Mus musculus: one gene and its partners. The protein of the gene in region 2 interacts with the protein of the main gene of each other region in a biochemical or structural test. Links are inferred from orthologs where the notes say so. Each region holds a gene or a part of one and is shown on either strand. Other genes may lie near its edges. The genes, in order: Anapc11, Ube2k and Rlim.

Region 1 (4,084 bases), on a different chromosome or scaffold from region 2:
CGTTTTAAGCTAGGCATGGTAATACTGTATAGCCAGACAGTTCGCTACTTTGTAGGCTTTTCTTTCTTCCACCTTTTCAACCCCCTAACTCTAGGTAGGAGAGAAAAAAGGATGGAGGGGAAGGGGGTGTTGTGTGATTATATCGTTCCTGCTGATTGGGGCTATAGTTCACTGGGGCAAGTCTGGTCTTCACAGTCAGGATATCTAATCTTTCCCTCTACTCCTTGTTTCTTCTTTGTACTAGACTACTTGACAAATCCTGACAAACTGAGTAACTGGGCTCTGGCGTTTATGTGTTCTTTGAAGAGTCCCTCAGAAACTATCTGCTGCCATGAAGTATCTGAGAAGCCCCATGTCCCACACCTGGGATCAAAGCAAAACCACATCCTTATACCATTTCTGTGGTTTTAAAGAAAGCAAAAATCTCACTACAGTGCACACCCTTAGTCCCATAGCTCAGGAGTCAAAGGTAGGAAGATCTCGGTGTGACTTTGTGACCAACCTGGTGTACATAGGGACGTTCAGACTAGCTAAGGCTATAATGAGATCCTGTCTCAAAAGGTAAATGTGAGTTTTTTTGTTTGTTTGTATGTTTTTTTTTTTTTCAAGATAGGGTTTCTCTGTATAGCCCTGGCTGTAGACCAGGCTGACCTCAAACTCAGAAATCCGCCTGCCTCTGCCTTCCAAGTGCTGGGATTAAAGGTGTGTGCTGCCACCACCACCACCTGGCGTAAATGTGTTTTCCTCTCAAGGTAATCAAACATTTCTACCTCATGTAACACACCAGAAACATAGGAGCCATACAAACAAAAAAAGGGTAAAACCTTTTGCATTCTGCAAAACACATTATGATCATAAAATTCAAGCCCCTTCAAAACGGAAGTAGAGTAAGAAGAGGCTATTTAGATCAAAGAGGAAGAAAGACCAAGAATACTGAGATGCTGAGTATAGCCCAAACCCCAGTAATTAGACATTAGGGAACAGATGTTGGCCCAGGATGCTACAGAGGTAAGACTTGGCTGAAGTGTGTTTATAGTTTATAAGCATCTATTTAGAGTTTACAATTCTTAGCACAAAAAGCCCAGCAAGCATGACAATATGGCAACCAATGTCTGAACTTCAATTTGCTAATTTGATCTGCTTTATTGTGAGTAGATACAAACTGAAAGTGTTATTCTGAGGGGTTAAGGGAATGATGGATCATCACTATGTAGCCTAGGCAGACCTCAACCTCAAAATCCTCTTGCCTCCCTCTACTAAGTGCTATTATGGTCTGTGCCCCCATGACCTGAATAAAACAAGTGTTTTTGCAACAGAGTCTCACTGTGGAGCCCAGACTGGCCACCAACTCAGAGATCCACTAGTCTCTGCCTCTGCCTCTCAAATGCTAGTATTACAGGTGTTTGCCATCATGCTGGATGGGGTCTTTAGACAAACCTGGGCTTGAAGTATTCTGCTTCTTTTTTCTGTCGACTTTCCCCTCAGATAATAGAAACTAAAACCCACAATTTTTTGTTTTTGTTTTACCTGGTCTTTTATCAAGTCAGGGCTTTTCTTTGTAGCCCTGGTTATCCTGGAACTTGCACTGTTTGGCTTTTTGTTTTTGTTTTGTTTTGTTTTTTGTTTTTTTTTCAAAACAGGGTTTCTCTGTGTAGCCCTGGCTGTCCTGGAACTCCCTCTGTAGATCAGGCTGGCCTTGAACTCAGAGATTCACTTGCCTCTGCCTCCAGAGTGCTGGGATTAAAGGCGTGCAACACCACTGTCCGGTGGGGTTTCGGTTAGGGTTAGGTAACTTGTCCTGTTGACCAGGCTAAACTCAAACTCAGAGATCCTCCAGTCTCTGCCTACCCAGTGCTGGGAAACCTAGGGATTTTTAGGCTGGTGGAGTAGGCTAAAGTTCTGAGAGCGCATAGGAAGACACTTACAGTCTGGACAGCAGCCATTAAACGCCATCCTGCAGATGCCGCAGTTCTCATCATTGGCTACCCAGAGCCAAGTGGCCACACCATTCCAACATTTAATTTTCACCTTCATGACAACAGAGCCTGTGACCTGAGGGAAGAGGATGACCTGGAGTTAGTACGGAATACGAAAGCACCTAAGCTCAAAGTCATGGAGCTGCGGCAAGTGCTGCACTCGTCAAGAACGGCATCTTCCAAAATTCCGTGCGTCCCGACCAAAAAGAAAGAAAAAGGCACGTGTTTGTCTTTAAAGACGGCAAGGAGAGCCTGTGGGATTAATGGCACGAGTTTATTTTGCCACCTTTAAGGATGCCTTTAAAGATCTGCACTCATGTAGTCTGGCACGGTGGCACACGCCTCTAATCCCGGGGCAGAAGCAGATCAGCCAAACAGGAAACGAAAACAAACAAAAAAACAAAAACAAAACCTCCGCATCCACGCAAAACATTGGTTTTCACTAACCAGGGCCTCGCTTTTAAAGATATGGAAAGAGTGACTGTCACTAATCCGCGAAGTTAAAGCAGGGGTGAGGACGCCAGCTCGTCAGGAGACCGAGCCTTCGAGCAAAAACAACCAAGTCGGACCCACGGACCGGCCGGGACCCCCACGATCGCACGGTGAGGAGGGACGCGGGACGCGCACACTGCGCTGCACCCAGGCGACGCCCGAGGATCTTCCGGCCTCCCAGGGAGGCGCCCGCAGGCCCCGCCCCCTGCTCGCCCTCGCACCTCCGCGGCCTAATCACGAGGCGCCCCGCCCTTCCGTTGCCTCCGCGCGGGAATGTATAAAAACGACCGCGCCGCGTCGGGCTCCTCCGAAGTAGCGCCAGCCACCGCGGCGAGCCGTACGCAGGCGCTCTGCGGAATCGCGCGCGCCCAGACCAATCGCCGCTCGCTTCGGGCCCGCGACGCCGGAAGGCAGGGGGAGGCGCCGGAAGTGACGCCGCGGCGTGCTGACGCGCGGGCTCGATCCGAGGCCCGAATCCGCGCCCGCCATGGCCGACAAAATGGACATGTCTTTGGACGACATCATTAAGCTGAACCGGAGCCAGCGAGGAGGCCGCGGCGGGGGCCGGGGTCGCGGCAGGGCCGGCTCCCAGGGCGGCCGCGGCGGCGCAGTGCAGGCCGCCGCGCGGGTGAATCGAGGCGGCGGGCCTATGAGGAACCGGCCCGCCATCGCCCGCGGCGCCGCAGGCGGCGGCAGGAACCGGCCGGCGCCGTACAGCAGAGTGAGTGCGGGGACCTGCGGCGCGGGCCGGGGAGGGTGCGCCCGGGCCGGCCGGGACCGGGTGAGCGTCCCGCGCGGGACCGCGGCCGAGGGGTGGGCGGGGGCGAGGCCGTCCCGAGGCCAGGATCTTCCGGGACGCTTTGTCCGGTCGTGGTCCAGCCTCGTGGCGGCGGGGGCCGCTGCGAGAGAACTTGGGTGTCCGTAGCGGAGCGGCGGGGCTGGGGGACTCTCGGGGCTCCTCGACCTTGGCCGCGGGGCCGACGGGAGAGCGTCGCCGAGGTGTCGCGGGCTCCCGGGACGAGTCTCACGAGTGTCTCTGTGCTTACGGTTTCTCTCCAGCCGAAACAACTTCCCGACAAATGGCAGCACGACCTCTTCGACAGCGGCTTCGGGGGTGGAGCCGGCGTGGAGACCGGCGGGAAGCTGCTGGTGTCCAACCTGGACTTCGGAGTGTCAGATGCTGATATTCAGGTAGGAGACGGGAGCTCTCCGCTTTCCTCGTCCCACGCGGACGTGGGCTCCAGGATCCTTTACAGATTGGAACCTGCCCTCCCCTAGGCTGCCCAGAGCCAGCCACTGTCACCCTGAGAGCCTTGGCCTCAGAAAAAGTAGGGTTTGAGCACGACCCCATAAGCCAGGCTGCAGGAAGATGTCACACACTGTGTGTGTATGTGTGTGTGTGCGCGCGCCCCCCTAAAAATGAGTCCTGTCTGCTGTCCAAACTGTGAGCGCCTGCCCTGTGCCAGAGCTTACAGTTTCTAACCTGCACAGACTGGCCACAACTCCGGTCCCAGCATGACCGAAAGGTGCTTGCTTCTCAGATTTATGCTCGATATGGTGAACTGATAGGAGAAGGAAGTCCAGCATCTCCCAGATGCTGAGAAAGGTGGCTGAGA
Region 2 (3,984 bases):
TGTTGTTTTTGTTTTTGTTTTTTCAAGACAGGGTTTCTCTGTGTAGCCCTGGCTGTCCTGGAACTCACTCTGTAGACCAGGCTGGCCTCAAACTCAGAAATCCGCCTGCCTCTGCCTCCTGAGTGCTGGGATTAAAGTTGTGTGCCACCACGCCCGTCTTTGGCGCCTGTCTTTGGTGGGAGGGGTCAGGTCTCAGTCAGGTCTCAGTCCTAGTCTTCTGTGTCTACCAAGTGCTAAGTGTGAAAGTTTATATCACTGTGCCCGGCAGTGCCAGCTGTTCTGGAAGCATCATGCCAGGATCCACAATTGCTCTAGCTTCTCTAGAAAACTACATTCATCAATTAGACATTTTCATTCTAATTGTTTTCTTCTCTGCCCTTATATTAGACAGAGCCTTCCTTTATATTAGGGTGAACTAGACCTCCTGCCTACATCTCCCAAGTGCTAGGATTATAGAGCTTGCTACCATGTCTGACTTTCCTAAGATCATTTTAGAGACTAGTGTATAGTGGGTATTTTAATATATAAAATATAGACCTACATTGTGTGTGAACAGCTCTTGCCAATTAGCATATAAAGAGCAGGGTTCTACAAATACTGTCTTTGGTTATTTTCATTGGCCCATTTGCTCAAACACTCCTAACTTTTTTTTTTAAAGACTTATTTATTTATTATTATATGTAAGTACACTATAGCTGTCTTCAGACACACCAGAAGAGGGAGTCAGATCTCATTACGGATGGTTGTGAGCCACCATGTGGTTGCTGGGATTTGAACTCGGGACCTTTGGAAGAGCAGTCGGAGCTCTTAACCACTGATCCATCTCTCCAGCCCCACTCCTAACTTCTTATAGAGCAGGTCTTAGGTGAGGTCCTCAAATGAGCATGAGTAATACAGTCCTGAAGTTCCTGCACTTGGGAGGAAGAGACAGGAGGGTCCTGTTTTTCATCTGTCTTAAGATGACATAGTAGACTCTGTCCCCAAAACCAAGTCCCTAGACCTACTCATGCCACTAGTAAGAGGAAGAATATTTACTGACATTTACTGCATTAACATATGCTGCATCCAGAAAGTTGAGTTCCTTCGTGTTCTCTCTCTCTCTCTCTCCCTCCCCCCCCTCTCACCCGCCCTCCTCCCTCCCTTCTTCCTTCCTTTTTTTCTTTTCTTTTCTTTTCTTTTCTTTTCTTTTCTTTTCTTTTCTTTTCTTTTCCTTTCCCTTTCCCTTTCCCTTTTCTTTTCTCTCTTCTCTTCTCTTCTCTTCTCTTCTCTTCTCTTCTCTTCTCTTCTCTTCTCTTCTCTTCTCTTCTCTTCTCTTCTCTTCTCTTCTCTTCTCTTCTCTTTTCTTTCTTCTTTTTGCCTGAACATCTAGGGTTGTCTCTTGTGTATTATTCAAGGAAACTGAAAATAGTCACTAGGAATTTTTGTTGTTTGATTTTAGGAATTAGGAACTCAACCAGACAAGGCTGGTTTAGAATAACCGTCTGTGTGGTTAAAAAGTGAACTTACTGTGGTTAGAGATAAAGCTATAGTGTAGTGTGCTTGACTTTACAAGGCCCTCACTTAGGATGACAGTCAAATTCCTCTAGAAGAGTTTGCTCTGAGATTTTCTTGAGACAGGATTTCTTTGTGTAGCCCTGTCTGTCCTGGAACTAGCTTTGGAGACCAGGCTGGTCTTGAACTTACAGAGATCCATGTTCCTCTGCCTTCCAGATGTCATGTGCCATCATTGCCCTGTCAACATTCTAAACATTTCAGGATTAGTGAAGCAAACTTTAAACAAATAATTATTTCATAAAGACAAGGGCTTTTGGTATAAATATAATTAGGATCATGACTTAAATTATGAGATTGAATTTTATTCCTAATTGTGTCTGTGTATTGGTGTGGGTATATAGTTTATGTGGGTTCCTCCAGAGGCCAGAAGCAGTAAGTCCCGTGGAGCGGCAGTTTTAGGTCATTTGCCAGCAAGCCAGCAATGGGGGCTGGGACGCAAACACAGGCCCTTTGCAAGAATAGTACACGCATATAATGTGAGCCATCTCTCCAACCTCAAGTGTAATATTTTAAATAGAAAATTGTCCTATTTTGGAATACTATGGATTGATCTTTATCTCCGTGTTTTACTTAGCATGCCATTAAAGAGTTGTAGTGACTTAACTGTGGTTGAGGGCATGGGCTGCTTGCTCTGCAGTGATCCCAGGGGAGTCCTTGGTACCCACTCCATCAGCAGAGGATGGACTGCTTTTATCCTCTCCAAGCACCTGTACTCAAGTTCACTTATGCAGGCATGATTTAGACATTTAAAAGTCTGTTTAAAATTCCAGTTTATTAGTATTGGTAACTTAAATTATCACTTTATAATGAAATATGGGTAAGTGGTTGGAGAACTTGCTTAGTGGTTAAGAGCATGTGTTCTAGCGGGACACTGGTGGCGCACGCCTTTAATCCCAGCACTTGGGAGGCAAAGGCAGGCGGATTTCTGAGTTCGAGGCCAGCCTGGTCTACAGAGTGAGTTCCAGGACAGCCAGGGATATACAGAGAAACTCTGTCTCAGAAAAAAAAAGAAAAAGAAAAAAGAAAAAGAAAGAGCGAGCCTGTGTTCTTAAAGAGTGCTTGACCTCAGTTCCCAGCATCCATACAGTGACTCAGGCATCTCGAACTCCAGTTTTGACCTTCATGGGCACCAGACATTTAGCACCATTCATACATGGAGACAGAAACTCACACATAATATCTAAGAAGAATGTTAATTAAGATAAAGCTTACAAAGTAAGTAAATGGAACAAGCAGAGAAAACAGCAAGGTGAGGGTGAGGTGACTTGAATAATCTTAGAAATTGACTCATTGGAAGAATAGAAAATTGGTAATTGGTACACGTTAGTTAACTATACAATTTTTAGTTCTAGCGTATTTTTGTTTCCATTCAGAAAACAGACTTTGCTTATGTCATTCAAAGTCCTTTTAACGGTGATATTTTCCTAATTTGAAATTTAGGGCAGCAGCAATGACTCTGCGCACGGTATTATTGTCATTGCAAGCGCTGTTGGCGGCTGCAGAACCAGATGACCCCCAAGATGCAGTAGTAGCGAATCAGGTAAGAAAGTAGCTTTTGAAAGACTTTCTTAGACCTGTGTGTGTAGTTTTAAATATTTCATATTAGCATATTAACATTCTATGTTGTACTAAATTTGGAAATGGTTTCTTTTAATAAAATAATTTTGTCACATATAATAAAATCATGTTACAGGCTAGAGAGATAGCTCAGTGGTTAAGACTGCTCTTAACTCTGAACTCTTCCAGAGGTCTTGAGTTCAATTCCCAGCAACCACATGGTGGCTCACAACCATCTATAATGGGACCTGAGGCCCTTTTCAGGGCTGTCTGAAGACAACTGCAGTGTACTCATATAAAATAAATAAATCTTTAAAAATAATAATAAAATCATGTCATAATAAACAAATAACAAATAAAGAATAAACAAATACCTGTTAGGAACTCCATTATCACTTATGTCCAGATATGTACATTGCAGAGGTTCTGTGTGACTTAAGTTCTCCTTGTACACTTAACTCTTTTGTGATATTCTTTGATTTCAAGAGTTTTTAAAATTATAGTCGTGTTTATGTCATTGTGTTCTGTTTTCCTTGCTTCCTCTTTAAGGAAGCATTTATCAGCCAACCTTCAGATTTTTAAAAATGTGCTTATAAAATGGGTTCCCTTTAGCTGAAGAGATGACTCAGCACTTATGGGCATTAGCTGCTCTTCCAAAGGACCCAGGTTCAGTTCTCTATCACCCACATTTTAGCTCATGACAGTCTGTAAGTTCAGTTTCTGGACACCTTCACACAGACGTACATGTAGGCAAAACATGAATGTACATCAAATAAAAATAATTTTTTAAAATGTTCTTTCTTTTTCATAATATTTATTTATTTATTTAAAGTATATGAGTACACTGTAGTTGACTTCAGACACTGGAGAAGA
Region 3 (3,984 bases), on a different chromosome or scaffold from region 2:
GGAGAGAAAGGAACTACACGATTAGGACACTCATGGGATGCACATAAACATTAAAGAATTGTGCAACTCGGAACAAATTTTACAAATTTACATTGAAAAGAGAAAGCTAAAAGACACTTAAGCGTCAGCAGTTCTCAACCTGTGGGTTATGACCCCTTTGGGGGGCTCAAACAACCCTTTCATGGCTTTCATGGATGTCAACTAAGACCATCTGCAGATCAGATATTTACATTATGATTCATAACAGTAGCAAATTACAGCTTTGAAGTAGCAATGAAATAATTTTATGGTTGGGGGTCACCACAACTTGAACTGTATTAAAGGGTCACATCATTGGGAAGGTTGAGAGCCACTGCTCTAGAAGATGCTGAGGCTGTGGGAAGGCATGAATTTTCCAGGCCACTGTCTAAACAAAATCAAACTACATCATCATAGTCGGGGGTGGGGGTTGGGGGAGTGTTGGGGTTTTGGTCCAATTATATTTCTACCAAATTTTCATCAGTTTTAGCTGTCTTTGATACCACGAAGTTGTTTTAAAATGTAAGAATATTTATTACAGCCAGAGCAAAACTATAAACAAGGCTAACAGTTTATAATTACTTGAATATTTGTCAATTATCAAGATTTTCAATTTCTATAAAACTAAAGACTATTATTAAATGAACAGTCTGAACCTAGAGTAATTTACACTTCCATCATAGCTCCTAGGTTCCTGCAGAGAAGCACCATTCCCCAGCATACTTGCTCTCTGATACTAACAGCAAACTCTCATCAGCTGTGCCACCAAACATGTCTCCAGTCATTGCTAACAGCCCCCAGGAGGAACAAACACCCAACTGAAAGGTGCTGGGCTAACAACAGCATTTCCTTTTGCTGATAAAGCCACATTCATAAATAAGGAATGAGTAGGAGAACATTTCAACGGATGTAGAAAACCAAGGGGAGGAAACTCAACTTAAATAGGTGACTTTCACTGTTGCTCAATTAACAAACAATCCAAAGGTGAGGCAGACACAGCAGTGTCACCCTCCTCCCCAAATAGCAAGAGCATGACATTTCTCTTTTTATGAGTACTTAGCACCAGATTAATTTGTGGCATTTCTGGATAATCTTTGGTTGAAATTCACTATTCGAAAGTTCCTATGTTTCCAACCCCGACCCACCTCCCCAAACAAAATGTACCTCTATTTTCATCGGGGCTCTGTGGTGGTGGACCCTCTTTAATTTGTTGTAGTCTTCTGAGCAACTCTTCCTCAGTACTTTCACCTGAAAGTTGAACATGTGTTGCAAAATTACAAATTAAGAACAGCAGGTCAGTTTCTGTCTTTTCCACACCCCCCCCAATGATTCTTTTTAAAGAAGGGTCCATACAAGATGACCTCAAACTCAAGAACCTCCTGTGCAATTGGGATTACAGGCAAGTGCCACCATGTCCTGTCAGGCTTTGTGATCTGCACTTTAAACTGTTTTGCCAGAAAGCAGGGTAACTGAATAACAGCAGGGCCAGAAGTGCAGTTAAGACATTCTAATTAAAGTTTAGTACTGTTTGCTCAAAAAGCTCCGCCTAAGCCTTGCTAAAACCCTAACATCTGAAAATGAATGAAAGTGATTACTTACTCTAACTCTCCTTTCTCCCCTCCCTTCCCCCCTTCTCTCCACGTGGCCATGACTGGTCTCCCTCTTTCTACCTTCTCTCTGCATTTCTACAATAAAGCTCTAAAATCATTGAGAGAGAGAGAGAGAGAGAGAGAGAATGAATATGAATGAAATCGTCCACAGGTTAGTGGAAATAGTCAGTTGTAACTAGGATCAAATGAGACCATACCTCAGTGAAATTATAACTAAGGACAAGCTGTTTACCCACAGCTAACTCTGTAGGGTTGCAGGTGGGACACATTCAGAGAATAAGATGAGATGACAAAATGAGTCGATGAGTCTATCCTCGACACCAAAGGCCCATTGGTTATTTTGTACCCAGATGCATAGCTAGCTAAACTGTTCACCTCAATTCTTATTTGATCCATTTCACTAAAGATTTATAATTCAAAAATCACAAACATCTCTGACAGGAATACTCTAATTATGAACCAGGCAATAAATATAGTAGCAGCCGGGCGTGGTGGCGCACGCCTTTAATCCCAGCACTTGGGAGGCAGAGGCAGGTGGATTTCTGAGTTCAAGGCCAGCCTGGTCTACAAAGTGAGTTCCAGGACAGCTAAGGCTACACAGAGAAACCCTGTCTCGAAAGACCTAAATAAATAAATAAATAAATAAAGTAGCAACTGCCATTTTGCATCTCCTGTATTAGTAACTTTTCATTAAGTAAAGAAACATTATAAAACAAGCTGTTTCTTTAAAAACCCAGCAACATATATATATATATATATATATATATATATATCACATATTACATGCAGCTTACCTGGGGTGCCCAGCAAATTGTTGTCTCTCATAAGTCTATAATCTTCTTCACTGAGATTATTCACAAATTGATAGAAAGCCTCTTCCCGATCCAAGCGATCCATTTGACTTCTGCGCTGAGCTGCAGACTGGTCACTTCCTTTATCGTTAGAATCTGAGTTCTCCATCTTGGTGATCAAGTGGAAAATTATCTAAAAAGCAAAAAGACCAAATTGAAAACAGACGCCATTATGCATTGCGTACCTTTATTTACTTGGAAACTACAATGCAGGAATAGATGTGAACTTTAAGAAAAACAAATAAATTAAATATAACAAAACTTTGGGAAAGCACTGGTAAGGTAGCAACCATAGTGTTTGTTTGGGCCTAATTCAGTAATGTGGCCTATTTTTATCTTCTTTGTAATCTAAAAATGGCTTTTTACATGGTAGGAAGTGAACCTAGGGCCTTCCTTGAATACGTCCCACCATGAGGATACACATCCAGCTCCTGGGTTTGATAGTTATTTCAGCCAGGGAAGTCTGTGTGGTCCAGTCAACTCAAACACGGTTCTCCGGCCTAAGCCTCTTAAGTGCTGGGCTTATAGACATGTGCCATAATGCTTGGCTATTTTCACATTCTCAAAAATGTTTGCCGTGTATGAAAAATAGGAAATACACACCAGTATCCCTAGTCTTAGTGAAGCACAGCCATGCATGCTTGTGTTATGGGTGAAATGAGCAACTGGGACAGACTGTAAGTGGGTCCCTCACTACTTTGCACCGCTGCTCTCTGCACTTCCAGTTACCTCAATGCACTTGCAACTTGATATGATTTCAAGTATGGCATGTGTATCATCCTGTGACTTTTTAAAAACATGCAAGTATAGACTCTTTGCAGTAACTGAGAAACACATTTGAACAACACATATAAAAAGCACAGCAGAGGCTACCTACTTTTTTTTTTAAAAGATTTATTTATTATTTTATGTAAATACACTGTAGCTGTCTTCACACACTCCAGAAGAGGGCGTCAGACCTCGTTACGGATGGTTGTGAGCCACCATGTGGTTGCTGGGATTTGAATTCTGGACCTTCGGAAGAGCAGTCGGTGCTCTTACCCACTGAGCCATCTCACCAGCCCGGCTACCTACTTTTAACCGCATTAGATGACCAAGGTTGCACTTTGGCAGATACTATCAGTACGCTAAAGTAGTATAAAATTAGACTAAAATATTTGTCAAAATGGTCCCAATTCAAGAAAAAAAATCTATGCTCTGCTAATTAGAAAACCCAAGGTGAAAGATCTCGTCTAAAACATTTCATTAAAAAAATACATTGTACTTTTATTTAGCTGTTAAAAATGGAAATTTACAGGTCAGTGGATGAAGCTAGAAAAACAACCTGAGTAAGATAACTCAGACTCCAAGAAAAATAATGTTTTCTCTTATATGTGGACACTATTTTCTAAGTCCTTGAGAGGCATGTTGCCGTTCATATAAGCAGAGGTTAGGTATCAGCAAGCAGCTGGGGAGGGGTTCATGTGCCTCTGGTTTCCAACAGAGAGAAAGGGGTGGAGCTGCAT

Evidence for each region.
Region 1: the proteins of Ube2k (region 2) and Anapc11 form a complex in vitro, tested with the Homo sapiens proteins (3 studies listed by BioGRID). The link is inferred for Mus musculus from reciprocal best matches to the Homo sapiens genes UBE2K and ANAPC11.
Region 3: the proteins of Ube2k (region 2) and Rlim form a complex in vitro, tested with the Homo sapiens proteins (2 studies listed by BioGRID). The link is inferred for Mus musculus from reciprocal best matches to the Homo sapiens genes UBE2K and RLIM.

The regions. Positions count from the first base shown.
Region 1 is NC_000077.6:120,597,210-120,601,293, reverse strand, and holds the start of Anapc11 (anaphase-promoting complex subunit 11), read right to left. Parts: upstream 2,763-4,084; 5' UTR 2,424-2,762; intron 2,053-2,423; 5' UTR 2,035-2,052; coding exon 1,926-2,034; intron 1-1,925. Other genes in the region: Alyref (THO complex subunit 4), read left to right, coding at 2,956-3,189, 3,528-3,659. UniProt on the Homo sapiens protein: Together with the cullin protein ANAPC2, constitutes the catalytic component of the anaphase promoting complex/cyclosome (APC/C), a cell cycle-regulated E3 ubiquitin ligase that controls progression through mitosis and the G1 phase of the cell cycle.
Region 2 is NC_000071.6:65,588,882-65,592,865, forward strand, and holds part of Ube2k (ubiquitin-conjugating enzyme E2 K), read left to right. Parts: intron 1-2,994; coding exon 2,995-3,094; intron 3,095-3,984. UniProt on the Homo sapiens protein: Accepts ubiquitin from the E1 complex and catalyzes its covalent attachment to other proteins. In vitro, in the presence or in the absence of BRCA1-BARD1 E3 ubiquitin-protein ligase complex, catalyzes the synthesis of 'Lys-48'-linked polyubiquitin chains.
Region 3 is NC_000086.7:103,964,069-103,968,052, forward strand, and holds part of Rlim (E3 ubiquitin-protein ligase RLIM), read right to left. Parts: intron 2,613-3,984; 5' UTR 2,589-2,612; coding exon 2,423-2,588; intron 1,267-2,422; coding exon 1,183-1,266; intron 1-1,182. UniProt on the Homo sapiens protein: E3 ubiquitin-protein ligase.